Lonchura striata: one gene and its partners. The protein of the gene in region 1 binds, or shares a complex with, the protein of each later gene. Links are inferred from orthologs where the notes say so. Each region holds a gene or a part of one and is shown on either strand. Other genes may lie near its edges.

Region 1 (7,590 bases):
TACTCAAACCAAAGCTGGGTTTGTGTCACAGAGGGGTACTAATGGCAAATAATGAAGTTATTATCTAATATTTAAAAACAGGAACAGATTGCTACATATTCAGCATGAGGAACCAGTTAACTGCAAGCACAATTCTAGCAGCTGGCTGGGAACGACAGGCTTGTCCACAGAGCAAAAACCAACATTTCTCATTACTCCTGAAAACAGGGAATAAACTCCCCCGGGAGCACAGGTTATCAAGGCAAAGGTGTTCTGCTGGGTGGAAGGGGTGGCTTCCCAGCCTTGTTCCCACCAGAATCAAAGAACATCTCCCCTGTTAGACCTCACAGAACAGAACTCCTGCTCTCCTCCACCTCCTGCTATGTTCTCACAGAAGCCTTGGAAGGAAAGTGATGCTGGTACTCAGTGCTTAGGTCATGGAGCAGAAGTGGTTTGCCCATATGTTTCCTGGAGGAGAAAAGGCTGAATAAATGAAGACACAATACCAGACATCCCGGGTGGCTTCTAGGATGATGTAAGTTCCTTTAAAAATAGCTTATTTCTTATAGGTCTCCTTTGAAATAGTTCAGAATTTACACAGGTAACCTCTAAATGTGAGAAACTAAGTTATAAATATATTCTGCAGCAATTACTAGAGGAGGTTCAAGTGCTAAACATGTGTAAATTCAATATTGCTCCCGAGTCAGCAGGGCTTTATGGAGCAGCTGGAGATGAACAATCAGCACACGAGATGATTTCCCGAGGCCAGCAGGTTCTGCAAGCTTGGGGAAACAATTATTTTGACCAGTTCAACCCAACAGAGGTAGAGAAACTTATGTCCTTTTTTTTTCCCCCCATTTAAGGCATGACCTGTGAGTCAACCATGATCCAAGTAACCACTCAAGAATAAATATCCACAATGGCAGATTGTGTTAGGGGATGTGTCAGGGAATTTAAGTGAAGCTTAAATTTACAGATCCTACAGTAAAGCACCATGAAGAACCAACCATCTCCTCCCTCCTCAGCCCCATAGAACTGGACTGGTTTTGTCCACCTGACACTACTGGTGCAGCTTTCAGCCTCTCCAGAAACACACACACTGAAAAGTCTGAATTAAATCTAGGCCTCAAAGCTTGACCTTCTTGGTAAATGAGGAAGTCAGTGACAACAATGTATGCTGTAGGTTTGAATACAAGTAGTTCTGTCAGGAGAAGATTCTAAGAGCCAGCAGAAAGTAGCTGGAGCTTTCCATGAGTCCCTGCAGGCACAGAAGCTCATTGCTGCACTGACTCTCCCAGCAGGAAAACAGCAGAGCAGCTTCTTGTACTTTCACCATGGTGTCCAAGTGTGATTAAACTCAAAATCTGTTTTTTAAGTGTGTTCAAAATGTAAGTTTTTCTTCCCTCTGTGCCAGTGATGTGCCAGGTAGTGAACAACCAACACCGCCACATATTCCATGTGCTTTGGAGCCACGAGTCTGAGTTCTCAGCCTGCACAATGAACCTCAGCTACACCACCTCTGCTCTCCTCCAAGAAAAGGTTAAACTGGAAGACAGACCCTGCCTACAGGCACTTTGGAACAATAGGCTGATTTTTCTGCCACCAATTATTGCCCTGGATAAGTATCAAGTATGTAGAATTAAAATTTAACATACATCACTCCTAAACTTAAGGGGCTACTGACCTGTTGGGAGCTCTGGCCTCCCCTTGCAGGGAGCTGCCTGGTTATTTGGAGTCCTCTCACAACAGCATCCTGAAACATCAGCATGTGGAGAAAGGGAAGAGTATCCAACACCAAATTGACTTTCTGGCTGTTTAGTTCTGCACAGCCACAGTGTCTGACAAAGTAACACCAGAATTAGGGTAACCACTGCAGCTGACAGTTCTGAAGTCAAAAGACACCACAGATCTGCTAGAATTTTATTAAAGTAGGTTGACACTCAGTCTCACGTAGAGTGAACAATCTGCAGCCACAGAGAGCTCAGTGCACACAGGATTCATGAAGTGTACTAACTGACATTTCAGCAAGATCCACGTTAAAGTACTGCAAACTCAGACAACCCTGACATTTAACAGCCCACAATTACCGCCACGATTGTTACTGTTACTCCAATGTGCAACACTGCAGCTCCCCACAGATGCCCAGCCCAGGGGGCTCTACAGAACCGACAAGGCCGGAGTGGTTTTTCTTCAGTCCCCATGACACAGGCTCCGGGAGGGTTCCAAATGACAATAACTTTATTAGCTACTTTAGGACTTTGATGCATGTCTATCACAAAAAAAGTACTTGTTCAGACAGGAGCAGGTACGACTTTAATAGAACCAAAGCACCATTTCACACACCCCAGCCCCTAAAATAACACGCACACATTCAGCCTGATGAGCCAGAGGCTGCTCCCACAAACTGCAGATGGCCAAGCCAGACCCACCTTGGCATCCTGTGGAGGTGAGTGTTGATCTAAGATTCAAAAATTGGACAGATTGAGGGCCCTGCAGTCCTCTCACAGTAATAAACACCTAAGCGGAGAACTGCTTGGATGAGCCAAAAAACCCTTAAAAGGAGCAAATGATCCTTTGGATAACCGCCACTTAAGGCCACTTACAGGTAAAATACACGCTGACTTCTGTGCTTACACCACATCCCAAGGAGCACATAAGCTCATTACGGCGCTGCAGGAAGGGATAAAAGCGAAGACCGAGGCTGCTCGGTGCTGGAGCAGCTCCAGAGCCCCGCAGCCACGGCCGGAGCCCTCCTGGCGTCCCCGCAGCCCGGGGTGCCGCCGGCCGCGGCCGGAGCGGCCGCAGGGCCCGAGGAACAGGTGGGCGCCCCGGAAGGTCCCGGCGAGCGGCGGCGGGGCCGGCCCAGAGCCCCCTGCAGGCCGCGCCCGAGCCGCGGCCTGGCGTGGGGAGGCGGCCGGGCCGCCCGCCGCATGGCCGGGCAGCACCGGCCGGGCCCGGGGCGCCGAGCGGCGGCGGGGCGGGGGCGGCCGCGGCGCCGGGCGGGCGGGGAGCGGCCCCCGGAGCCCCCAGCGGGGCGGCCCTGCGCTGCCGGCCCGGGGGGCGCGGGCGGGAGGCGCCGCCGGCTGCGGGACCCCGGGCGGACGGCGCGCCGGGAGCCCCGCGCCGCCGCCGGCAGCGGAGGCTCCGGTGCAGCCGGGGCGGCCCCGGAGGGAGCCCCGGAGGCCCCGGGAGGGGGAGAAGGGCGTCGCGGCGGGAGCGCCGGGCGGGGGTCGGCCCGGAGCGGCGGGGGCCCGCGGGGCCCGTACTCACGTTGCTCTGCGGGTCGATGGCCTGCAGCAGCCGGTCCCTGATCTGCTGCGGGGACGGGGCCGGAGCCGCTGTCATTGCCTGGGCGAAGCGGGGCGGCTGCGGCTGCGGCCGGGGCTGGCGGGCGGCGGGGCCGGGCCGGGCCGGGGCGGCGGCGGCGGCGGCTCCTCACTCGCCGGCGGCGGCGGCCTCGGGGAGCCGGAGGAGCATGTTCGCTCCCCGCCGGGCGGGGGCGGCGCGGGGGGCCGGGGGGAGCGGGCGAGCCCAGCGCTCCGCTCCGCTCCGCTCGGGCCGAACGCGGGGCGCGCTGGGGGCAGGGCCGGCGCCGCGCGCGGCTCCCTGGGACGCGCCCGACGCCGTGACGTGCGCGCGCCGCGCCCCGGCCCCCGCCCGCCCGCACCGCCGGGGGCGCGCACTGCGCCTGCGCGGGGGAGGGCGGGCGGCGGCGGGAGCGCGCGCGTGCGCGGTGGGGGAGCGGGGCGGGGCTGGGGCGCCGTGAGGGGGGAAGAGGGGGACGCGGGGGAGAGGGGGAAACAGAGGCTGGTGAGGGGATATGGGGGCAGCCAACAGGGACCCCACGGGGGGCACGGAGACAGCGAACAGGGACCCCTGAGGGGACATGGGGGCAGCGAACAGGGACCCCTGAGGGGACATGGGGGCAGCGAACAGGAACCCCTGAGAGGACATGGGGACAGCGAACAGGGACCCCTGAGGGGACATGGGGGCAGCGAACAGGAACCCCTGAGAGGACATGGGCACAGCGAACAGGGACCCCTGAGGGGACATGGGCACAGCGAACAGGGACCCCTGAGAGGACACGGGGGGCACGGGGACAGCGAACAGGGATCCCTCAGGAGACACGGGGACAGCGACGATTCTGGGGGACATGGGGACAGCAAACAGACCCCTGAGGGGACACGGGGGACAGGGGGTAGCGGACAAGGATCCCTGAAGGGACAGGGGACATGGGGGCAGCGAACAGGAACCCCTGAGGGGACATGGGGGCAATGGGACAGCGAACAGGGACCCCTCAGGGGATACGGAGGCAGCGACGATTCTGGGGGACATGGGGACAGCAAACAGACCCCTGAGGGGACACGGGGGACATGGGGGCAGCGGACAAGGATCCCTGAGGGGACACGGGCGGCGCTGGGGGACATGGGGACAGCAAACGGGCCGCTGAGGGGACAACGGCGGTTCAGGGGGACACAGGGATAGCGGGAAGAAGCTGGAGGAGAGGGCGCCGAGGCGGGGAGCCGTGAGGGGAGAGCGGGGCAGTGTCGGCGGAGGGGCAGCGGGAGCCGGGTGGCCACTCCGGGACCCCCGCCCGGCCCCGGAGGAACCGAGCACCCTGCGGAGAGAAATAAATAATGGGAATAAATAACGGGAATAAACCCCCTGCGGGCACCACTCCGGGCAAGAAGGTGTGAGGGGTGTTCTGGTCCTCTCAGCAAAGCATCAGTGCAGCACTTAAAACTTCTCACAGCATTTAAGAGCAGCTGAAATTTGACTCCTGATTTCGTTGTTTTAAAGCAGCTGCTTCGAGGCTGAATCACAACTTTTGCACAGCTGGAGTCTTTTGGGGACAGCCCACTCTGGAGCCACACGGTGTGTGCAGGGTGATAAAACTACATTCCTTTAGCAGTGGAACTCCCTGTGATCATAGTTACCATTTTTCTGAGGAAGAATAAAAACCCCCCTAGCTCAAAGCTGAACCCAGGGGTGTCCAATAGGTCACACACACAGTGATGCCACATCCACCCGTCCCTTAAAATTTGGTTTAATTAAGATTAAGCACTAAATGTTTTCCAAGAATTATATTGGTTCAATATAATTGATACAATACAATAATGGTATTGTATTTGGCAGTATACTTTTTTGTCTCATTCTGAAGAGTTAGAAAAGGGTTAAAATATACTGAAATTACAGACAATATGTTTAAATCTAACCAAAGGTTGTACATATTTCTGGATTGCTCAAACCACATTTGAAGGAGCCTGTCTGTACATTTTTCTGGGTTCATTACAGTGGCCATCAAATGACCCTTCCCCTGTCATGTTTCATTAATGTGAAAACTTCAGTTCAACCAAGAGGGCAACTCAAGTAAAATGCTGCAGGTGTCCAACACTTGCATCTCACTACCAAATAAAATTCCAAATACTCCCTAAAACCTGTGCCAGGGCATCATTTAAATCAGGTCTCTTTCTCCTCAACATCTAAAGAAACTGAAGCTGTGGAAGCCCCACTAACAGTTTACAGTTTGATTTAAATGATACTCAGCGCTGCACTCTCTTAAATTAATGATCTTGGCGATTCCAGGGAAAAGCTGTTGGTCAGAGAGGCTAACTTATAAATAACACAAGACTCCAGGCAGATGACAGGAATAGTTACAATTTCCCAAAATACACCAATACAGAATCAATTTCTCATGTAACAGAATGAACATGGCATCAAATATATACTTTACCCTTAAATAGAGCAACTTTATTCAACCAAATCCAAGATTATTCCAAAATTATCTCTTAACATTTGCTTAGAGAATTATTTTTGCCATTTTTCCCCATTCAAAATCCTTTACATATTGCTTAGGAAAAAAAAATTATTTTAAGTATTATTTTACAAAGCATTTTTTTTCTGGAAAAATAGGGAAATAGGTAGAAGGTGAGAATGGCATTTTTTTTTCTTGAATATTCCTTTTCTACGCCTCCAAAGAAATGAATGGAATAGTGAGAAGTTACAAGAACACTCTGCTCAACTTTTACACAAAACTGAGAACTCAGGAGTGTGACTTGGACAGACGGGGGTAACTCGAGCTGGCACAGACCCAGTTTGGACTGGCAAAGCAGAGGTTTAAAACTGGCTCCAGTTCTCCCCTGCTCTCACTCTGAGCTTAGGAAACCAAGTCAAAATTCCCTTTCAGTGAAGTTGAGATCATTTGTGTGAAGGTTGTGGCTCCAAGCCCCCGCAGAGCAGGAACCTGGAGGGGACGAGCGTGTCCCACAGGCCCAGGGCTGCAGCTGGAGAGCAGCAGAATATTTTACTCCTAGAAAAGTTTGTTCCCAGCCAAAAGTCTCTTCTAATATCCATGGGTGGCTTTCAAGATCCAAATAACCTGGGGGATGCAAAAAAAAAGTAAGATGAGAAACAGCCACACCTGTGCAAGGCTGATTTATCCGATTTATTTACTTGGTGGGTTTCCACCCCACCCCAAAATGAAAAACATCCCCAAATTTAAACCCAGGTGATGTTTGATTTGAGCAACCCCCAACAAACAACACTCTGCCTGAGGCTGAATGACTCAGGTGCTGGCACAGGTGGTTTTCATGCACTACAGGTGCCCACATTAGCAAAAAAAGGTGAGATCAACCCGTATTTGAAAACTGAAATAAAGAAGTGAAGTGAAAAAGAATTATGGAAAAATCAAATGGGAGAGACAGATGTGACAAGAGTGCAAGAAAAGTGCCAATATATGACTTCCTGTAACCAAGTGAGAAGATGCTGCACAGGGTTACTCACACAATCATGCAGAACATCATGAAGATATTCCACAAGGCAATGAAGATTCGAAAATACCTGAGACTCAGCAAGAACTCTCTGATATTGTCGCCTAGAAATCAAGAGGAGAAGCTTTTGATATGAAAAACACAACTGACAAGTCAGATTTTCAGCGCTGCCTGAAAATCACAAGCAACTCTGAGAGGGGAAAAAGAAACATTAAAAAAAACACAACAAAAAGTTCAGACTGAAATTTGAGGTTGTAGGTGAAGGATGGATGCTCTGTTCAGTGCAACTCTGTAAGGATACATGGCAAAATGACCAAAAAATTATAAAAAGGGGTCACGCTGCTAAAAAGGGAGGAGCAAAAAAGGTGTTCTGGGATTTTTAACCAGCAAACAGATACAAGGGAGCAACACAGATGGATCCACGTGGAAATGGCAATAGGGGAATGAGCAGAGCATCACCTCTATAGCACAGGCACCTACAGGTCTAAAATGCTGAAAGAAATGTGCTTTTTGTGTGTTTCTTCTCATTTTAGTTTACAAGTTAATACACCAGTTATTCCAGCCCCACAGCAATTCACATCCAACAAAAAGGGGTGGAAAAACTCCAGTTTGGCCAAGGATTTCCTCCAGAAAAGCCCGTTCTGTGCGTGTCCTGGCCCAGGGCAGGGCTGTGCCCGGCTCCCGCATCCCCTCCGTTACCGGTGGTGGGTTCCCTCTGCTCCTCTCCGAATCCCTCCGTGTCCCTCCTCCTCCTGCGGGGCAGAGGGATCGTGTCAGGCAGGTGAACTCCCAAAAAACCCTCCCCGTTCCTCCGCCCGCCCTCCCGGTTCGCTCACAGCCT
Region 2 (7,389 bases), on another chromosome or scaffold:
CTGACAGCAGTTTTAAGGGAAAATCAGGAAAACCAAGGGATTAATGTCTGAGAGACAAACTAGCAATACACTTGTAGGAAAGAAGTGATAGACGGATGAAGGTGATTTTTGCATGCAGCAGCTGGAAGTAGAACTCCTTAAGAAAAGGATTCCTCTCAGCTCCTCTGGTTTCTGAGGAAACTGCAGACAGCTGCTAGAGGAACAATTCTGATAATTACCAGGAGGATCCTGAAACTGCTCTGCAAAAATGGGAAAGGCAGGGCAGGCTGTCTCTGCCAGGATCCCAGGAAAGCCATTCAGGTCACACAATAAAAGGATGTGAGAGCTACAGGACACCAGTTAACCCACTTGCTTTAGATTTCACCTCAAACACAGACCATAAGGATTGCTTTCGTGTAATCAGAGTTTCTGTCTGCCTGTTTTCCAAGTTCCTGTGTGTTGTTTGTGCAAAAAACAAACACCATTTTTGTAGGAATTTCTTCTTGACTCAGCATAAAGAATTATAGAATGGCATACCCAAAACAATGAAAGTACAACAGGAAAAGCCAACTTTAATCTGTGCCTACGACCTCACATGCTACATTTAACAAAAATTAGACTTTTTATTTTTTACCAAAAAACCACAAAACTTTAAACATTTTCATCTGCCCAGTCACCCACAACCTCCAACAGGTGCACAACAATTGCTCTTTCTGCTTGTACAACAGCAAAACAAAATACAAAATGCATCCTCAGAACCCCTTCTGTCTCTCACTGCGGTGCATTAACAAAACCAGCTGTTTGCTTCATGTCATCTCATCAATAATGCTGCACATTGCTGCATCTTTGTCCAAAACCTGATCTCTCTTGCCACCAGAACGCTCCCTCTGTTTTTCGCTCTGTCCAGCACAGCTGCTGCCATCGTCAGTGTCCATGGGCTCCACGCTGACTCTCAGTCCCCCCTCTGTGTGAGGCAGATCATCGGGCAGGGAAGCCAGGCAGTTCTGGATCATCTCCACCACTCGCTCCAGGTGCTTCTGGAAGCGCTCGGCCGTCTCCAGGCGCTGCCGTTTCTGCACCTCCATCATGACCCTCAGCGTCTCCCTGGCCTGGTGAGGCCGGTACTCATTTATAAGGTGATGCACGTGGACAAAAAGCAGTTTCAAGTCTTCCAGTTTCTCCTCTCGCTTTATACTCCCTGGACTCCTTATCAAGATGTCCAAGAGGTCCAGGAAGTTGACCAGGATAGACATGTTAAGTTTCCTTAACTCCTTCTTGTGATCAAACTGCATAGGATGCAGCCGTTCGATCCCCTGGCTCTCCAGGGGCCGGATGATCAGATCATCACACTGGAACTGGTTGCCAAACATCATGTAGCTGTCCTTCACAGGAGGAGGTGGCTTTGGAGCCAGGCCTTTACGGATGTTTTCATCAGTGTATTCTTTGATATATTGCATTGGAGGCGGAGGAAGGGCACTCACTTGCTGAGGTTCACCCATTTTTGCCAGATGAAATTTCTAGGGAATGACCCAAGAAACAAATGTTAACAATTTGTGTCACAAGTTTATAATATAAATGTAAGAAAAGACAAAATATGGGAGATGGCAGTAAGAAAATGAGCAAGAAGAGACAAATCCATTTGCAGAATACAGGAAACTCCTGGCAAATCCACGTTATCTTTTCACTAAGATTTACTTATACCAAGTACTAGAAGCACACAAAACACTCATTTCTCTAAATATGAAAGAGCAGCCTGTAAACTAGGCAGCCAAAGGGAGAAGGGTGACCCCCTTCCCTAGATGGGTCCTGGTGGGCAAACCCCCCAGAATCACCGAATATCCCAAGCTGGAAGTAATACACAAGGATCTGCAAAAGCCCTGCACAGGACACCCCAAAAATCTCCCCCATGGCTGACAGCATTTCCCAAAGGCTTCTTGAAGTATTTTAGGCCTGGGGCTGTGACCAAGGAGAGCCTGGGCAACCTGTTCGGTGCCCAACTACCTTCTGGAGGAAAAACCTTTTCCTAATATCCACGTAACCCTCTCCCGGCACATCTCCAGCCGCTCCCTCGGGCCCTGTCACTGGCCTCAGAGGGCAAAGATAGGCGCTGCCCCTCGGGGGGAAGCTGCAGCCCGCGGTGAGATCCCCCCTCAGTCTGCCCTTCTCCGGGCTGGCCAGACCGAGTGACCTCAGCCGCTCCTCGTGCGGCCTCCCCTCTTCACCCGCGCCCACGAGAGAAACCAGGCAGGGCCCACACCCGCCGCCCTGCCCTGCGGAGGAGGGAGTTTGGGGAGGCCCAAACCCCGCGGCGGGGCTCGCCAAGTCAGTGCTGAAGAAACAAGAGCCGGAGCCACGGCCCGGCGGAGGGCACGGGCCCCTCGGAGGGCACGGACCCCTCGGAGGCCTCACGGGCCCCTCGGAGGCCGCACGGACCCCGCGGAGGCCGCACGGACCCCGCGGAGGCCGCACCGGCCCTCCCGCCCTCACCTGCCCGCTCCGCCCGCCGCGCTCCCTCAGCGCCGCCGCAGCCGCTTCCGCCCGGCCGCCCTCTCCTCTCTCTCCCTATTGGTTGGCGGCCTCGCGGTGCCGCGCTCTGATTGGCTGTGACGCAGAGCAGTCAGGCGCTCCTCCACTCAGCTCGCTCGGGGGCGGGGCCAGGCGCGGGGCGTGGTTCCCGGTATGGCGGGGTGGGGGTTGCCCCATCCTGGGGCGGTGGGTACCTTTCAGAGGTCTGTGACCCCCTCAGCGGTCCGTGACCCTCCCCAGCGCTCTGTGACCCTTCAGCAGTCTGTGGTCTCTTAGCGGTCTGTGACCACTCAGCGATCTGTGACCCCTCAGCGTTCTGTGACCCCTCAGTGTCCTGTGCTCCTCAGTGTCCTGTGCCCCTCGGTGTCCTGTGTCCCTCAGTGTCCTGTGCCCCTCGGCGTTCTGTTCCCCTCAGTGTCCTATTCCCCTCAGTGTCCTGTGCCCCTCGGCGTTCTGTTCCCCTCAGTGTCCTGTTCCCCTCAGTGTCCTGTGCCCCTCGGCGTTCTCTTCCCCTCGGTGTCCTGTGTCCCTCAGTGTCCTGTTCCCCTCAGTGTCCTGTGCCCCTCAGTGTCCTGTTCCCCTCAGTGTCCTGTGTCCCTCGGTGTCCTGTGCCCCTCAGTGTCCTGTATCCCTCAGCGTTCTGTGCCCCTCAGCGTTCTGTGCTCCTCAGCGTTCTGTTCCCCTCAGTGTTCTGTGCCCCTCAGAGGTTCTGTTCCCCTCGGTGTCCTGTGCCCCTCAGTGTCCTGTTCCCCTCAGCGTTCTGTGCCCCTCAGTGTCCTGTATCCCTCAGTGTCCTGTGTCCCTCGGCGTTCTGTTCCCCTCAGTGTCCTGTGCCCCTCAGTGTCCTGTGTCCCTCAGTGTCCTGTTCCCCTCAGTGTCCTGTGTCCCTCGGTGTCCTGTGTCCCTCGGTGTCCTGTGTCCCTCGGCGTTGTTCCCCTCGGTGTCCCGTGCCCCAGGAGCGGGCTCCCTCGCCACCAGCCGCTGTGAGGCAGCGGGAGCGCCGGGGCAGGAGGGACCAGCCCGGCGGCCCCGGGAGCTGGGACAGCGGGGACAGCGCTCGTCAGGGCGGCCCCGCTGCTGGGAGACAACAGCATTACGGAACAATCACAGGAATCACAGAACCAATCCGGTTGGAAAATACCTCCGAGGTCCCCCTGGGAAGTGTTTGCAGCCATCCGGCAGCAGAAAACGCTAAATCTGACCATAACTGACAAACAGTTGGGCTCCGTTGCTTTTCTTTCCGTTTTCTTCCAGGAGGAGTTGAAGTTAACATGGTGGATGTAAGTTTTTCACCGGGTCAGGTGGAGCTGGGCTTGCTGGCATCGCTTCTGCGGGATTTTCTCCCTGAAATGGCCAGCAAGGAAGGTTTTTTCGATACTTGGCCGTTTCTGTGCCGTTCTCTCTCCCTCAGCAGATGGCAGCAATGGCCTGGGTGTTAGGGACCCATCACCGCACACGCAGTGTCACTTACAGATTCACTCTTCCAGATCGATTCTTTACTAAAAAAAATTCAGTTGAATGATAATTACTTTGGATCCTGCTAATTATTCCTAAAAACATGCAAAGAAGATCCAGAATCGTTATACTTATTTGATGAGAAAGCCTGAAACGATGTACTGAATATCTGAATATTTATATATTGCAAATTAAGCTACACTTTACAATTTACAATGAGTTGAATATTTAAATATTCCAAACTGAACTGCACTTTACAGTGAGTAAAAGCCTGGCTGAAAAATACGCTGATTTGTTTTCATTTGTAAGCAATTTGCTGAATTCAGACAAGGATGCAGTTCCATGCTGCAACTAAAACGTTTTTCCTTTGGAAAAGGTGATCTCATTCCTTCACTTCTATTCCTGCTTCTTTCTTCCCTCTCTTCTTTCTTCCCTCCCTGCTCCTCCAGCCCCTCACTGGCTGTGCACCCTTTTCTTGTCATTGCTTGTGCCACCACCATCAGGCACTGGATTGCAAAGCAAACTGATGCAGCTCCAAACCCATAAAACATTACTGCAGGGTTTTTTTTTGTAAAGTTTTCAGCTTTTCTAATGAATTAACATGCTGTGCTGTGTACCCTGTGAACATCAGGGAGAGGTTTTGAGAGGGGACTGTGCATAGGCAGAAGGAAAGGAGGAGGCTGGGAACATGGGGTGGGGAATTGTCCTCTCCATTTCTGTGACAGAAATCTCTTATCTTGTCTCAAATCATCTTGTTACATCATACTCTGAAAGAAAGATAAGGAATAAAAATCATTGCCTCCAGAGATGCATGAGATAACACATGTAGTAGGAGGTACCAACACATCCTTGGTTTCATTGGACTTTCCAGACTTTGATTTCACATTCTTTTTACAGGAGCTGAGCTTGATTCTCTAGTGCCTTGCACTCAGTGAACCATGCAGCAAGGATGTAAAATGCTGTGACTTCAAACAGGAGCAGGCAGAGAGAGCCATGCTCTTGTTTTTCCCTCGATCTCTGTGATCTTGACGCATTTTCTGTATGATGGTGGCCAAGACAGAGGGAATATAACATCGATGAGTCTTGCTCTTGGTGGCAGGGCTGCTTCTCAGAAGACCCATGGATGACCCTTTCCAGCCCACGGGGAGCAGCTGACACTTCTCCTTACAGTGCTTCTAAATGAGAAATTAAGAATGACGGGGAATCTCAAGTGTAGCACTCTGCAATTTGCTTCTTGCTCCAGTCCAGCTCTTTTCTGAAATAAGGGCACTATCCAGTACAAGCCTAGCACTGGTAATGAAGCACAATTCCTACATCATCTCCAGCTTGTGGGAATGAACTTCGACACCCCTTCAACAGATGGTGAAAAAGTACCATGATATTCTCTGCCTCAAAGACTCAATATCTTAATTTATAGCTTTGGTTAAGTTTATTTTCATTTTCTTCATAACTAATTTTATGCAAATTGGCATGTTTCAGTAGCAAGCACTCCATTTCTGTTAATTCAGCAGCAGTGTGTACAGTGTGTGCCATTGCAGTATGCTGTTATTTTAGCAGAACTGGAATCCAAACATTGTACAAGCACAGTAAATATAAACCCCACTTTCAGGCATGCTCTTAGAACAGTGCTTCTCTCTTCTGTGCTACAACAGATTTCTTTCATTTCTTGCTGCTATTGCACTCTAAATAATAAATAAATAGATAAATAGATGTGTGTGTGTTTTTCTCATGTTGTCTGAAAAACAACGCCAAAGTCAAACTCGGTTCCAGTCTCTTCTTGGGCGTAGGTTAGGGTTAGATCTTGTAGCCTGGTTAAGCAATGAGCTCAGGAATTTCCTTTTTTGGTGATTGTTACAGGCTTTGTTGCAGGATAAACCAGGGAGGAGGGCAAGAGAAAAGGAGCCTGTTGGGGGTGAAGGAGACTTAACCAAGCTTTATGTCTCCATCTGCTGTGGTTAATTCCCATCTCCCTGCCTCCCGCTGTGGCTTTGGGAGTGAATGAATTTGCAGTGCAGTACTGTGCAACCTTTTCTTCCTGACTCCTCAGACTAAAATATCAGCTGCAGCCTATTGGCACGCCTGCTGAAGTAGGAGTTTAATGTTCCCATCATGTGAAAACTGGGGCACAACACAGAGCAGTGCATGACAGCTAAACTGTTTCTTGCTCTATGGCCTGTTATCAAACAGATTCAAAGCTCAAAACAGAGCTTTCATGGTTATTTAGCAATAAACCAGGTATCTCACTACAATTAGGAAACTGATAGGGCTCAAAATCCAGGCATGTTTTGATGGAATCACCCAGCACTCCTTCCTATGTTCATAGTCATAGTATTGTCTCAGGAAGCAGCCCCCCAACCTGATTTTTGAGCCAGACATTAATGCTGGGTGTTTTCTTGCTCACATGCCTGTTGTAACTGTTTATTCAAACATGTAAATGAACATGTCTTTAAAACAAACATGTAAACAAGTAAATTAACATGTCTTTAAAAAATGCATCTGCATGGCACAAAGAAGTAATTCCTGTCCAGCAAACAGTGACCTGGGTACAGCAAATGTGTTGTATTGCCAGGGCAAACCCTGGGATCTGCAGCAAGTTTTGCCAGCAATGCAAGTCCCACCTTTGTCTTCAGAGGGAGACAGAAACAGACAGGAACCATGATAGCCAGGCACTAATAAAAGGAGCTGGAACAAAATCCCAGTTTGGCTATGGCTCCCATGAAACGAGTTTTTCCTTTCTGCATTTTTGCCTAAGAGAGAACAGCTGAGGAAAGGATTAATTGTCCCTTTATCACAGAAGAAGGGACCTAACCCTGTGCAGCTTCTCCAGTATAAAACACGTGCTCTATATTACTGCCAATACTGGGAATAATTCACTTCACGAATGATGGATAATTCACTACATCCTCCCAGCAGATGCTCAGAACAAGGCATCCCATTTCTCAGGGCTCCCAAACAGTTCACAGGAGGATCTTGCTCTGCTTCTACAACTCCCTGGGTCACTGGGAGCAGTGTGAGGGGATTCAAAGGTGCAGTTGTAACCTCAAGGAAAGCTGGATGCATCTGGTTCATAAAGACCAGCTAATTCTTCCCTTTTTCTGCAGCTTTCTGTCTTGTTCTTTGAGTCTACTGGAGCCATGTTTATTGGGGTGACAATGAACTGCTAAAGAAGAGGACAGCTGAGTAACCTAAATGAGAGTTTCTCGCACTCCAAGCTAAGTAGCAAAATGGAAGTTTAGAAGTTGAGCAACAATCATCATATTGAGCAGCTGGCACCCAGGCAGCAAACCTGACCTAAATATTGCACATGATAGAAGGATATAGGTCAGTTTATGTGAGTGAAGAGAAAGCTGCAGCCTTCCAGACTGGTTTTTTGGTTGTTTTTTTTCAGAAACAAAAACTACCTATATTTAACTTTATAAATTTCTCTGC
Region 3 (7,538 bases), on another chromosome or scaffold:
GAAATCTGTGATATTAAAATTAAAATAAATAAAACATGCCAAATTTGAGCTTTCTTTAGAATTGCATTTATGTAGTATGTATAATTATGGATACTCACCTTTTCGTGCTTTTTCAATTGATTTCAGTTTTTCCTTTGCTTGATAAACAGCTGTTGCCTAGTTGTAAAAAAAAACCCACAAAGCAAACCAAACCTTCAATACATATTTAATTTATAAACGTCTACATAAAGTCAACTTTGTGAATAAACCCTTCCATTTAATTGCATTTTAAAAGAGAAATTTCCATGAACATTTTCAAAATACACAGAAATAAAGTAGATTTAGAAGCAAATTAGCATTATAAAAAAAACCTTAATACCATGATAACTAAACAGTGTTTGACTATTGAGAAAAAACCCAAACCACTAAGCTCTTATGAAGTTTTAAGTATTTAAATCGTCTCAAACTAACACAACACCACTTTGCCCAGAACTGCCTTTTCTACAAGAAGATGCTCAAAAGCAAACACATCATTATGAACTTACCAGTATGTGCTCTGCTTCTTTAAGCTGTTTCTGCAGCTGCTGAATATCATTATCCCGCTTTTCTACTACCTTTTCTAAAAGCTGCATTTCATGATGGATTTTTCCCTGATCAACTGCCAACTTCATTAGCTCTTGAAACTCTCCATCTCTCTGAATCAGCAGTTCCAGGATCTATTGAACAACAGTTTTGTAGAACTTTTAATTTGGCTAGAGTAACAACACACTCTCAGTCATGCTACAAAGAAGAGCAAATGGCATCCATAGGAGTATTTTTGCTTGAATGAAAAATGAAAGAAAATTTCTTCCTGTTTGCAGAAACGCCCTATGAAGCACATAAAAAATTAATAAACTGCAGGAGAACCAATAATGCCTCTGTAGCAGGGCCAAAGCCCCACCATGACCATTAACTTGAATATAGGCAAGGACAAAAGGAGAAAGTAAGGACAAAGAAAAAAAATGGAAAAAAATTAGAAGCAAAGCATTATGCTTACCCAAAGAAATGCAATTCAGAAAGGCAGCTTACCTGGCTCTCCTCTCCTGGTTGTGGAAGCTTTTGGTTTCTTGAAATTGCCAAAATTTCAATTAGTTCCCTGAAAGGAGAACTCCGTTTGCACAATTTCCTACAGCATTCTCACATCAAGTCATCCCAAAATTACCAGAGTACTGGTATAATTATGAAAGTATTCATGGACCTGAGCAGTTTATATTTTATAGTACAGTGTGGGCAGGGACTTTTCAACCAAGAAAGAATATTTTTTTGTTATTTGAGCTCATGAAACCCTCATGTATTTGAACAAGAAATGTGCTAAGTTCCTGTTAAACCATAAAAGACATAAACAGAACCTGAGAGAAGAAACAGCATAATGGAGTGCACTCAGATCCTTCTTCTACTAGCTTTCTTTGTTGCAAGAGGGTCTTCACTGTTTTACTTCTCTACTTTTTTCCACTTTTTCTCCAATATACTTGTAATTTAGAGCAATTAAGTCTACACTTTCAAATACCAACAGAGTCTGTTATGGAACTGCTTTTACAACAAATATTCCCACAATGGTATATTAGCTATGCATCAAGCACACAAAAAAATATAAAAGAACCCTGGTAATACTCTGTTGCTAGGCTAGAAGTGCTTCTCAAACAGACCTCTTGATCACTCTTCCAGATATCCAGATACTCTGCCTGTGTTCAGAAAGCCAGCAAGAACTCTGGGTACCATGATGCAAAAAGGCATTTTCTGTAAATTCAGCAAAGTCATTTGGCTTCTAAGGCTATGAATGGCAATTCAACCCTAAGCACAAGTAACTGTCATCTGGAGACACTGCCCTTGGAAGTACTGACTCTTTGCTTGGTCCAGTGTAAGCAGCATAGTGGGGTGTGTGTGTAATATAGCACTGGGGCCAGAAATGTCTAAAAAAATCCCCAGTAAAACTCTGATCTTGGTCTATATCTCTTGGTCACTCCTGAACACTACTATGATTTTAAACAATTAGACAATAAAGAAAATTGTCACTGTTACTAAAGCTTTATTCTACCTGACCAACGCTGAGCAGTAGCAAATAAAATCCATTTTAAGTAGGTCACCTACCACCATCAAAGGTGATGTCAACTAGTGCTGTAATTCTACCCTGTGTCAGCCAGGTAATGCACAGACATAGATTCAAAACTATAGAAAGGCTACAGATTAGACATATGGCTTAATTTTTGTCCCTACCACCAAACCAGTATTGAAACTGAGAAAAGCCTAGCCCCAGGGTGCTGCAACACTTAGCTGATCAACAGGAAGATTCACTAAATTTTGCTGAGAATTGCTCTGGCTTCATTGTGGTAGAACACTAGTTCCAGCATTAAAAAATATTAGCAATATACATAAAGAATAAGCTTGTTTTCATTTTTCAATAAACATATGCTCTTCAGCAACCCTTATGTCTCAATAAAATCTGTGACACAGGATAAAACTTAACCTGCCACAAGGAGAGCAACTCACCAATAGCATATCCTAGTCTTGGAACTCATTCAGTGAGCAAGCCACATGGATAGTACAGGTATTCCCACTGAAAATGTTTTCCTAAATTCCTGCTCTCCTTGAGGTGTGGAAAATAATTAGGAACTATCTGAACTTCACTGCCAGCTGTGCCTCCACGACATGGTTGACAATTTGGATGAGGATTACCAGCCTGGACTAAAGACCCTGGATTAAGTATCTGAGCATTTCTATCACTCTGAAGACAAGCGCTGCAGCCTACTTGGAGTGAATGTGGCACTAATACAGGCAATGACCTGAACAGGTGATGTCATGCCACACCATCTACGTATTTCTGACTTAAGCATATTTTTAGTGACTAATAAAATGCCTAAAATCGGCGTGTGAGTGTGCACTTCACAGGAAGCAGAGGTGTCAGCCAAGGGAGAAAGGCAAGTGGGAGAAAAAGGAAGCTACACCTTCTCTCTGCAAACGACCGATGCTTTCCAGCGGGATGAGCGCCGGGAAGCGCTGCGCAGGGCCGGGCCGAGCCCCGGCGCAGCACCAGCCCCTCTCCGGCAGGGCCGGCCCGAGGAGGGCCAGAGCAGGAAAACGCGTACCAGCCGGGTCGGGCCAGCGCCGCAGTGGCGCCGGGCCCCTCCCCTCCCATCCCATCCCAACCTCCGGGGCCGCCGCTCCGCTCCGCCCGCCAACCCCGGCTCCGCGCCCGCGCCCCGCCGGCAGCCCTCACCCCGCCCCCGGTGCCCCGCCGCCACCCGGGGCCGACGGGGCCCGAGCGCGGTACCTGGCCAAGAGCTCGAGATCCTCCAGCGCCGCCAGGAGCCGGTCCCGGGTGCTGCTCCGCTCCCCGCCCCCCGCGCCCGCCGCTGCCCCGGCCCCGGCTCCCGCCGCCGCCGCCGCCATCGCCGTCCCGGCGCGGACCCCAGCGGGAACCGCCCCCGGGAGGCGCGCGCGGGCGCGCGGCAGCGCCCCCGGCGGCGCAGGGGCGAGCGGCAGCCGCGAGGCGGGCGCGCATGCGCGGGGCGGAGGGGCGGATCCCTTCCCGCCGGCTGGCGGGGCGGAGCGCAGCGGGGGTTCGGGGCGCGTCCCCGCGGGCTGGGGGCGTGAGGGAAAGCGGGTCGCCTCTGCGGCCTGCCTTGAGGCCAGGTCGCTCCTCGAGCATCTGTGCTTGTTGCTCTTGCAATCATAGGATCATTTAGGTTGGAAAAGACCTCTGAGATTACGGAGTCTCAACAGCGTCGTGTCAGCTAGACCGCGACGCTAAGGGCCACGTCCAGTCTTTCCTTAAGCACCTCCAGGGATGGTGACTCCACCACCTCCCTGGGCAGCCCATTCCAATGCGTAATCACCCTTTCGGTGAAGAAAATCTTCCCGATGTTCAACTTAAACCTTGCCTGGTGCAGCTGCAGACGGTGACCTCTCGTCTTCCTGTTGCTAGTTGTTGGGGAGGAGAGGTCTGTCCCCACCTGGCTACAACCATTCCAACTGGAATGCATTTGTGGAGTCCCCGGGCCCCCACAAAGAGCCTCCAGATGACACTGATATATGCTAAGGATACAGAAAACAGGCTGCAGGTGAAGTGTGTGCAACTGTATTACATCTTCAGGGGCTTTAACTCAATTTTTGAGAGTCTTGGTGTCCAAAAATCCCTCAGGTGTCTTTGATCAGATGGAGGATAAAATCACAGAATCACAGAAAGGGTCAGGTTGGGACCACAGAGGGTCATCTGGTCCAACCTCCCTGCTCAAGCCGGGTTGTCTTAGAGCACACTGCACAGGATTGCATCCAGAGGGTTCTTGCTATCTCCAGTGAGGGAGACTCCACAATCTCTCTAAGCAATCTGTTCCAGTGAATGGTCACCCACACAGTAAATAAGTTCTTCATGTTCAGATGAAGCTTCCTGTGCATCCGTTTCTGCCCATTGCCTCTTGTCCTATTGCTTGACACCACTGAGAAGCACCAGGCTCCATCCTGACACGTCTCCTTTAGACATTTATATATCTGGTGTTTTACTGGCAACTGAGGAAGGTTAAGTGCATGATACTGAAAGCATATCAAAAACCTGAACTTCAAATCAGACCAAGACCAGGGTTTTACCTGGGCTGGCTGTCCCTTACATGACTAGAGGCATCACTGTCCTCCTGACACTGCCCGTGCACACGTGTGTGTCCATGAAGGTAGCTTGGTGTCCACCACGGACCTCTACACACAATGGTCAGGGCACAATTGCCTGCTGGGGGCAGAATCTGAACACAATAATAGGCTCAAATCCTGCACCCAGCCCTGCCAGCAGTTGAGTTGGAATTAAAAGGTACTGCTATGTTGTGGGGGTTTTTTAATGCTGCGCTCTATGGGGTGGTGAAACGGGCTGCTCCTTCTGGGTGGAGTCACAGTGTAGCCAGTGGAATTTTTTTATATTCATGAAAGCTTCAGTAATGTGGAAAGACCCTGTGAGGCCAGGCTGGAGGGAAGATGAGGGAGTACAGAGTAAGAGCTTATCTGGGGCCAGGGTTTATTAACTAGGGCAAGCACTACCATAGAACAACAGGGAGCCCCAGACCCTGTGTCCTTCTGCTGTCAGCAGGCAGCTGCCAGTAAACAGCTATTTTCTTCTCCCCTGATTAGAAAAAGGCCTACAGGAACAATAACTTCTCTGACTGCTGGTATTTACTCTGATTATCTGTTACCTTCTGCAAAAAGTGTATTCCTGAGAAATTTACATTTATTTAAAGAAGAAAAAAAGGCAAGAAACTCATTAGTCAGTAATTCTTTGGATTGTGATTTAAATAAGCAATTCAACATTATGAGATTTTTGATAAAGCAATGAGATTTGGCAACTCTGAGAAAAAAGACTTTGCTAACAGGAGTTATTTAAAATTCCTTTGCAATGCCCAACAACCCTCAACATTCTGATTGCAAATAGTTTGGGAATTCTGTTTAAACTGCATAGCAGATAAAATCTCATTAAATAGTTCTGCCTTTTAAATAACTTTTGCTTGCTTTTTTTTCCCTTCTCTATTTCCTTGCTTTTGTTCAGGGAAAGATGTAATCAGTGATAGTGTCTGGTTGTGCATCCAGTTCACTGATTCGTTAGTGTCTGTATGGGTGCATAAATAGAAAGAAATAGTGACATCAAAAACAAAGCAGTCCTTCCACTAAATCATTTTCTTCCTCATACTCATTTTGACATCTGGATTATTTAGACTTGAGTGCTGTATTTCAGGGCAATAATGTTGGTTTCACTTGAGCTAAAAGCTTGCAGCATTAATAGGACACCCAGAGTTGACAGGTGTGAATATTGATTATAGGTGATTTCTGTAGCCTGATCTTTCATTCTCCTTTTGCCTGGGAGCTTGTTCCCTCCCTTCCTCTTCACAGCAGTACTACTTCCACCCAACCAGGCCAATACCACCCATCTTTCCCTGGAGCAGCCAACCTACTTCTCAAATTTCTATTCCTCTTCCAGGCAACATGGACAACTGTCTGCTCTCTACTGCCCATGGCTGCATAGCCATGTCTGGGGAATGCAGTGGAATAGGCAGAGACTTAACTGTGTTCGTGCCTCTGTGTGGGAGGACAGGGTGAGACCAGAGGTATCAGGGAATGCCTGTCTGTGCCAAGACATAGAAAGTAATTCAAACCATGTCATAGGGGTCATCTCCTTCAGAACAAAGGGAAAGGCTGGGTGAAATGGGCTCATGCCCCAAACTCGTGCCCCCCATGGACTGATTACTTAAAGACTGAGTGAATACTTTGCTGAATAGACTTCTGAAATATTTCCCTATAAAAACAACAGAGCCTCTGTTCCCCCAGTGTTGGTTCCTCTGTTACCTCAGTTCTTCAGTGCTTTTTGCCTACTTTCCCCTGGGTAAACTTTTTTCATAGTTTTGTTGGTTTTGAGCCAGATCTGCTTCTTTGGTTCCTCCTGAATAACTAAGCATTGTTCCTGAATTTTTCCAGTAGACTGAGAACATTTTAGTTTGTGTAGTCATACATGGATATTTGCACAGTGAGTTTATTAAACATTTCAGAGCTCTTTAATTTCAAATTGTCTGTTCAATGGCATACTGAATGTATTGTTAAGAACCTTCTAGCATAAGCAAAAATAGCTTATTTTATCTTGTTCAGTTGAGTCTTTTCTCTTCCAGAATGGGCCTTGAAGTGATGATCAGCAGAGCAAACTGATTCCTCTAGATAGATCTAGGAGCATCTGATCTGATCTAATAGTTCACCAAGGGCAAGAACCTGAGATGCTGCTAACTTCTCATGTCCCAACTGCAGATTTTCACCCACCCTTAGCTCCTTCTTGGTGTTTGCCATATGGGCCATGAGCCACTTCAACTCAATAACCAGACTGAAGAATATTTAATTTGGAAGAGGATGTTCATTTCCTTCTGTTTTAGATAGTGAACTCTAACCTCATCATATGGAACCATGCCTTCAGAGTGTGGCTTGAGTTGCAACTAATTTCATGGGACTGTGGGCTAGTGCTGAAAAGTGAGATCTTCCCTTCTTTTATTCATAATTCAGTGCTATTCAGACCTAGGATTCCTCTAGTGCAAAGCATTTTCTTCCAACATAATACTGTGATTCCTTCACTCTAGGTATTCCTACTTTGTTTGGTTTTTTTTTGGTTTTTTTTCCTATGAACTAGAAAATCACTTTAGAATGTAGAAGCTGAGCTGTAGCGAATCTTGCCTAAGAAACCCAAAGCAGGTGTGTGCTTCAGTTAAAATCTGTATTTTTTCTGGGCTACAGTGCTTTTCAGCTGTCTTCTAATTTATACATTCCAGACACTAGACATCAGGTGTTCAGTTTGCAACAGCTAAGTTTACCACACCTTAAAATAATAAGGAAAATACAGACTACAGAAGATACGTAATACCTGAAGGTTCTCAGGACCATGTGTAATAAAGCATTGCAATCACTAAAAATATAAAGGCAGGAGGATACACAAGGAGAGCAAAAAGGAAAAGGGACAGAACAGTTACTCATTTCTACTTCCCCTAAATAATGTAAAAATAAAATCCTTTCTG
Region 4 (7,413 bases), on another chromosome or scaffold:
TATAATTTTTCCTACTGCTGTGTCAGGAACAGCAAATTCATACAGAAAGGGTATTTTTAATGAACAAGGCTATTATACTCAGCAGATTAAACAAGTTATTATTTGAGGAATACTCTGATAACAAAGATGCAAAGTGGCCCTTCCACCACCTTACTGGGAAAAGGCTCCACACTTGGAGCAGGACTGGGGATATCTGTGCAGGCTGGCTGGGGTTTTTGCCTACCAGAGCACACCAGTATTAACCCATTTTCCAGAGCGTCGCTGGATCCCCGCGCTGCCGGAGAACACCACACACACTTGGTGCTGCCAAGCGCTGCAATCCAGAGGAACATCCCATGGAACCCAGCTCTGCCAGCCCAGCACCATCCCCAGCACCTGCACTGTCAAAGGAAACTTTAAAACCTCCACTTCAGACCATGCCCTCCCCTCAGGTGACACATTCAGAGCCCAGACCACTGAAGGCTTCCACTTGCTGGACATCACTGATAAAAGAGAATCGGTAACTAAAAGAAAACACTTCCCATCAAAAGATTCAGAAGCAGCAAAGGCTCCTAACCTCTCTAGCATGTCTACAGCTGACAGAAAAATGGCAATCATGAATCATTAAACAAACCCAAATCCACCACAGCAACCAGACACAGCTGACACAGAGCTCTGGCTTCTCCAGGGCAAGGAGACAGCATTCCTGCTTCCACAGAACAAATGTATGTGGCAAGAAATATTATTTAACCATGAACAAACAGTATCACGATAGACTACAATTATTTCAGAACTGTAATTCTCCACTCACGAACATTACTTCGTGATTCACACACAAAACAAAGCCTGCAGTTGAAAAACCCCCAACTTCTAATAGCAGAATCAATTTTCAAAACATTTGTAATCTACCTCACTGTTAAAGAATGAATGGATTCCCAACAGTTAGTCGTTTAGATTTTGTTCTGTTACACTGAAAAAGTAAATTATTAGCAAAAGTTTCTCTAACTACTAATCCACACTACTGTAGCTTTAACACTTCATAAATTTTGAAATGAATATGACAATCTGAGGTTAAAGGGTCAGTGGTGCTGGCTACATATTTTCAGTTAGTGTTTCCATTTTCAATATCTTTCTCTGCTACATAAATCCCAAAAAACACTAACACAATATTAAATAAATCTTCCTAATAGTTTTCACATAGGTTGTATTTTAAAAACACTACTACTTTATTCCTTTTTTTTTTTTTTTTTTTTTTTTGTAGAGCCACAATACAATAAAAACAGTTTCATACACAGGACCACATTAAGGCACAGATACCTCCCACAAAATTACATGGGAGATTAAAGGGCTGCACATTAAACTCATTATTAAAGCCAATTGCAAAAGAATTTCGTTTAACTTATTTCAGTGATATTACACACCCATTTAAAATTGAACATTTCCCTAGCCTAGTCAGGTGGGAGAAAAAAAGCAACCAAACCACAATAACTATGAAATAGCTTCACTTTATAATTTATGCTAATTGCATGCCAACAATTATTTTTACCAGTGACAGATTTGCAGATTGCAACTGCAGGAGAAGTTCCGCCTCTCCAAACACACACTCAAGTCTGCATTAATGAACGGGGACTTCACAACTCTGTGAGGAGCAAATCCTCCATTGCCTCCCTTCTACAATCAGATACGATTGTTCCCTTCATGCTTCCCGATTTATTTTCCTCCCCGGCTAAGAGCAGCTTAGTCAAAATCACCAGAACAATCCCCCAAATCACCTTTCCTGCATCTCCATACACAGAGCACTACTACGTATTTATAAATATTACTATATGCCTTCAAACAGAAGCACGGATACAAACTTACATAACGTAACAGTTCAATAAAAAGCCAGAGTAAGAAATGTATAATTCTTACAGAACAAGCTCGTGGAGCAGTTTTCTAGCAGTGGAAGACTACAGTTCTTGTTGCAGATTCTTAAGAGGTACAAGCAAAATATAGTATGTACATATACATATGCAGATTAAAAAAAAACCAAAGTCTGAGACAAAATAACAAATATACTACAATAACGTTTAAAAGCATAAAACAAAGAGCTTGATCATTTGCGTTTCTAAGTAATTTCCTTTTTTTTCTCTCTCCTTATTTTCATAAGGGAGCTAAAAACAATCTCTTCCGTTCCATCAGAAGAAGAACATATGCACCCACCTCCAATTCTGGCAGAGCTCTGCTGCGGGGAGGGGGCACTCACCACAACCCTTTCACACATGCTACCCCCAAAGTTGCATCACAAGGTTTTAACTCCACTACACCACGCACCGAACAAGTCCCTCCTCCCCTCCGACATTATCCCTGTAGCACTGGAAGGCTCCCGATGATCCAGCAGCCCTCTCACTCACTCAGCTGTTGCCCAGCCAGAAGGGATAATGTTCCTGTGCATGCCAGGTAAAATAAAGCAAAGTATTTCCGAATGACTCTGCCATTACACACAAATTGTTTTCGTATTCTAAATTTAAATTGCCGATCTATAAGCCAGCCAAAACTGCTACCATGATTCCTGCAACATTAAACCACGCAATCCACGTCGGAAGTTCCCAGTGAGATGGGCAGACAGCATCTATGCAAACAATCCGGCACACTACTGTCAGCCGCTGTTGTTCTTCACAGAAGAAAAAATTAAAAGGTTTGGCTTTTTTTTTTTTTTTTTAACCTCTTGCCCCCGAGCACGATGTGTGCAAAGAGGTGAGCAGGCTGTAACAGCAGCTGACACGCCGTCACAGGAGCCCGGAGCTAAGTCCGACAGCCGATCACACTACATGAGCGTTCGCTGCTGCTGAAATGGCGTTTGTCATTGTGAGAGGAGAGAAAACCCCCCGGTTCGGTGGCACAAAGCGCACAGGGCACGGAGTGCCAAGGGAGGCGGGGAGAGGAGCCTGTTTACCCAGGGAAGATGGTCGTGCAAGGGACACAGAGCCTTCCCCTCCCCGCTCTCCAGCTGCGAGCGCGATACACGGACCCGCAGCAAACCACGCTAAAGAGCAAAATAAACACGGGGACCGGGCCGGGGGAGGGGCCAGCGCAGGAGCAGCCCCGGGCCCTGCCTATAAACCCCCGGCAGCTGCTCCCGACCGGCAAACCCGGCGCGGAGCCACCCTCGGGCGCCCACCCGCCCACCGCCCGCTCACTCACTCACCAGCGAGAAGAGGTTGGAGTGACAGTCCTCCAGGCTGGCCCCGTTCGCCACCCAGTTCGCTGCCGCAGTCATGATCCTCGGCGAGCCGGGCCGCCACGGCGGGGCATGTCTGGGGGGACGGCCGGGGGGCGAGGGGCAAGGCGGGCGGCCCCCGGGGCGACCCCCGTCACTGCCCGGGGCGGCCGCCGCGCTCCGGCCCCTCGGCCCCGCGGGGCCCCGCGGCCGGGAGGGGACGCGCCGAGGCCGGGGCGGGCGCGCTGCTCCTCGCTACCCGCCCCCGCGCCGATAATCCTCGAGCCGGGAGGCCCTTCTCCGGTGCAGGCGGGGGGGACGCGTCCCCCGCTCCTCCAGGCCGGGAGAAGAAGAGGAGGAAGGGGGGGCCCGGGGCCGCCCTTCCGCGTCCAGGTGCGGCCCCCCCCGGTCGGGGGTCGCGCGGAGGGCGGCGGGTCCGTGCGGGACGCGGGGCGGGCGAGGCGAGGGGGGGGCCCGGTCCCGGCCCCGTGCGGAGGCGTCGGCGGGCGGGGGGCGCTGTGTCCCCTCCCCGCCCCGCCCGGCCGCCCCTCGCTGCTGCCGCCGCTGGCTGTGCGTGGATGGTGTTTTCCTCCTCCCGCTCCTGCTGCCGGCGCCGCCGCCTCGTCGGCGCTGCCCACGGGGTGGCGGCGGTGCGGGCGCGGCCCGGCCCGGGCAGGGAGCGCTGTCCGCCCGCGCTGTGCCGGCCGTGCCCGCAGCGGCCGCAGCTCCGCGCCCGCTCTGCCTCCTGCGCTCTGACAGCAATGGCGCCCGGGCCCGCACCGCGCCGCGCCATTGGTCCGCGCCGCACCACGTGATGCGGACACGGGGGCGGAGCCCCGGCGCCGGGGCGCCTCCCGCCGCCGCTGCGCTGCGCCCGCCGCCCGCTGGGGGCGCTCGGGAGCGGCGCGGCCGTGGGGGGTCCCGGGCGCGGGTCCCGACCCTCGGAGCGGGAGCGCAGACAGACAGACAGACAGGGATGGCGGACGGACAGACAGACAGCGGCCAGGCAGTACGGACAGACAGTCAGACAGACAGGGAGTACGGACAGACAGACAGACAGGGATGGCGGACGGACAGACAGACAGGGAGTACGGACGGACAGACAGACAGACAGGGATGGCGGACGGACAGACTGACAGCGGCCAGGCAGTACGGACAGACAGACAGACAGACAGCGGCCAGGCAGTACGGACGGACAGACAACGGCCAGGGAGTACGGACAGACAGACAGACAGGGATGGCGGACGGACAGACAGACAGCGGCCAGGGAGTACGGACGGACAGACAGACAGGGATGGCGGACGGACAGACAGACAGCGGCCAGGGAGTACGGACAGACAGACAGACAGACAGGGATGGCGGACGGACAGACAGACAGCGGCCAGGGAGTACGGACGGACAGACAGCGGACAGGGAGCGCGGACAGACAGACAGACAGACAGCGGACAGGGAGTACGGACAGACAGACAGACAGGGATGGCGGACGGACAGACTGACAGCGGACAGGGAGTACGGACGGACAGACAGCGGACAGGGAGCGCGGACAGACAGACAGACAGGGATGGCGGACAGACAGACAGACAGCGGACAGGGAGTACGGACGTACAGACAGACAGACAGACAAGGAGCGCGGACAGACAGCGGCCAGGGAGAGCAGACAGACAGACAGGGAGCGCGGACAGACAGCCAGCGGCCAGGGAGAGCAGACAGACGGGGATGGTGGACAGACAGACAGCAAGCGGCCCGGCATCGCGGACGGACAGCGGCCCGGGAGCCGGCGGGGCTGTGCCGGGGAGGGGAGGCTGGCAGCAGCGCCAGGCTCTCCCCGCAGAGGTGGTCGGGCACTGAACGGGCTCCCCGGGGACCCCTTCAAAGTCACAAAGTACCGCAGGACATAAGAAAGCCAGTGTCTTACTGGAAAAGGTGAAACAGAGTTTCACGTGGTGATGCTGCAAGTTTACTAAGGGGCTTTTTTCTTTTTTCCCTAAATAAATAAAGAACAGGATAAGGAAAACTACCATTTACTGCCTCTGAACCAGGCAGAATTCCCTTATTAACCATTGAGGAAAAGCAGAAGGAATAAACATGCTACCCAGACATTTGGGAAAGGTTTTCTTTTTCTTCAGGCACTGCCCAGGCTCCCCAGGCAGCAGGCACAGCCCCAGGTTGCCAGAGTTCCAGGTACAGTCGGACAACGCTCTCAGGAACGCACAGGATGGGACTTTGGGGTGGCCCTGGCAGAGCCAGGAGCTGGGCTGGATGATCCTGGTGGGTCCCTTCCACCTCGGGATGTTCTGTGGCACGGGAACTGTATCCCATCCGTGGAGTCGCTCAGGATGCCAGTCACGGGGGAATCATGATCCCGAGCATTCCACGTTTCACCGGAGGGTTTTCTCAGCACCTGAGAGTGCTCAAAGTAATTTTTAAAAGGCCTCAAAGCTCATTTGTGGTCACGCTCCCCTTCCTAGCTGAGTTTAACCCCACACTCTGCACAGCCCTCAAGTCACCCCGTGCTCATCTGAAATAGCTTTGAAGATGTTAGCTGGCATTATTTTTTTTAAAGGGAGTTGGAAAACACCTGAGTTAGATAACCAAATGAAATTCATTCCCAAAATAATCATGGTCTGGAGAAGAGCCACAGATTTTTATTCTGAGTTGCAAGGGGCCCGCAAGGATCATGGAGTCCAACTCTTAAGTCAGTACTATGCAAGAAGAAGACACTTGGTTTAAAAGAGATAATTCATCACAAATAACGTTTTTACTGTTTGTAATGACCTGTTGATTTGAACCAGTGGGAGCAGAGAGTTTCTCCCTGCCTGAGTTTCTCCCTGACTGAAGAGTTCCACAGATGGTAGAAAGCAAATATTGTGCTTAACAATATTGAAGATATTGAGCATTTCAACTTAAGCTCTAATACAGAAATGCAGCACATTTTCAATGATGTAATTCAGTGGAAAAAGTTCTCACTCTGTACTCAGTGGCAGCTTTCCTTATCATGATTTTAATCTCATTTAAGTGTCTTTACTTTTTTGCAATTTACTTTTCTTGGCAATAAATTAAGATTAGCATCTCTTGCAATGGCTGACTGGAGTTTGTTTGGATTTACCTCATAGTAACAAATCTCTCCCACAAACAGGCATCACATTTACCTGAATTACGTACATAGAGTAAGAGACAGAATTTAAGCCAAACGAAAATTTCCACCCAGCTCAGAGTTCTTACTGTGTGTGTGTTTCCTCTGACAAATCCATCATCCATCAAATCCCTTCCCTGCCACACCGACCAGAAATTCTGACTTGCAAAGACTGGACCTATACTGTGAAGAAAAATGTTTTCAAATACAAATTATTCACATTCAGTTACAATTGCAATGTATTCAGTCCAAGCGTCACAGCCTTGAAACTGCTTCTTACATCCTGGCACCCTCAATCAGGGAAGTACTTTGGCCCATGCTACTCCCCTTCCTTTTGGCACAAGTCTTATAAACAGAGAACACAATCTGACACTTGTAAATATGTCAAGCAATGTGTATTAACCAACCCCAAACCACATCCTTCCGCATTAAAATAGTACAGCTATTGTAACTCCACTGCAGCACCACGCACCCATCCTATCACTACAGGAGGCCCAGGGACAACAAACCATTTGATGAAGTATCCATCCTATTTCTGGAATAAAAGAACATCCATTACCATAAAAAAATATAATTTTCTTATTATATAAAAATTTTTGCAATTGTGAATGGTGATATTACTTATCCAGATAAATACTGTGCAGGGTTGGACATTGCAGAATTCCTGTTGCTTCCATATGCTGCTTAGCCTCCAAATGGTATTTCCAGTCAGCACCATTCCTCTTATCTCGATCTTTCAATTACTGGCGACTGATTTTGCTTTATTTTGTCAGGAAAATGTGGGATCTAACAGATTATTCAGGTCCATTTTTGTGAGGAGAAATGTTAACATACTCATACTGTGCTGCTTTGGCCACCTTCCAGTACTTTTATGAATGTTAAATACTTTATACATTAAAAATTGTGAAATCATAGAACGGCCTGGGGGGGGGGGGGGGGGGCCTTAAAGCCCATCCAGTGCCACCCTCTGTCATGGGCAGGGACACCTTCCACTACTTCCACTATCCCAGGCTACTCCCAGCCCCATCCAACCTTGCATTGGACACTGCCAGGGATGGGGCAGCCACAGCTTCTCTGGGCAACCTGTGCCAGGGTCTCCTCA

What was found.
Region 2: MED26 (region 1) and MED7 share a complex: the UniProt entries of both Homo sapiens proteins name them as parts of the mediator complex. The link is inferred for Lonchura striata from reciprocal best matches to the Homo sapiens genes MED26 and MED7.
Region 3: MED26 (region 1) and MED4 share a complex: the UniProt entries of both Homo sapiens proteins name them as parts of the mediator complex. The link is inferred for Lonchura striata from reciprocal best matches to the Homo sapiens genes MED26 and MED4.
Region 4: MED26 (region 1) and MED13L share a complex: the UniProt entries of both Homo sapiens proteins name them as parts of the mediator complex. The link is inferred for Lonchura striata from reciprocal best matches to the Homo sapiens genes MED26 and MED13L.

The regions. Positions count from the first base shown.
Region 1 is NC_134630.1:3,979,535-3,987,124, reverse strand, and holds the start of MED26 (mediator of RNA polymerase II transcription subunit 26), read right to left. Parts: upstream 3,362-7,590; 5' UTR 3,325-3,361; coding exon 3,250-3,324; intron 1-3,249. Other genes in the region: SMIM7 (small integral membrane protein 7), read right to left, coding at 6,343-6,358, 6,763-6,853, 7,449-7,501, 7,586-7,590. UniProt on the Homo sapiens protein: Component of the Mediator complex, a coactivator involved in the regulated transcription of nearly all RNA polymerase II-dependent genes.
Region 2 is NC_134617.1:4,516,609-4,523,997, reverse strand, and holds MED7 (mediator of RNA polymerase II transcription subunit 7), read right to left. Parts: upstream 2,522-7,389; 5' UTR 2,467-2,521; intron 1,497-2,466; 5' UTR 1,479-1,496; coding exon 786-1,478; 3' UTR 532-785; downstream 1-531. UniProt on the Homo sapiens protein: Component of the Mediator complex, a coactivator involved in the regulated transcription of nearly all RNA polymerase II-dependent genes.
Region 3 is NC_134604.1:61,907,944-61,915,481, forward strand, and holds the start of MED4 (mediator of RNA polymerase II transcription subunit 4), read right to left. Parts: upstream 3,406-7,538; coding exon 3,287-3,405; intron 1,115-3,286; coding exon 1,048-1,114; intron 696-1,047; coding exon 525-695; intron 157-524; coding exon 99-156; intron 1-98. UniProt on the Homo sapiens protein: Component of the Mediator complex, a coactivator involved in the regulated transcription of nearly all RNA polymerase II-dependent genes.
Region 4 is NC_134620.1:6,576,914-6,584,326, forward strand, and holds the start of MED13L (mediator of RNA polymerase II transcription subunit 13-like), read right to left. Parts: upstream 3,296-7,413; 5' UTR 3,239-3,295; coding exon 3,167-3,238; intron 1-3,166. UniProt on the Homo sapiens protein: Component of the Mediator complex, a coactivator involved in the regulated transcription of nearly all RNA polymerase II-dependent genes.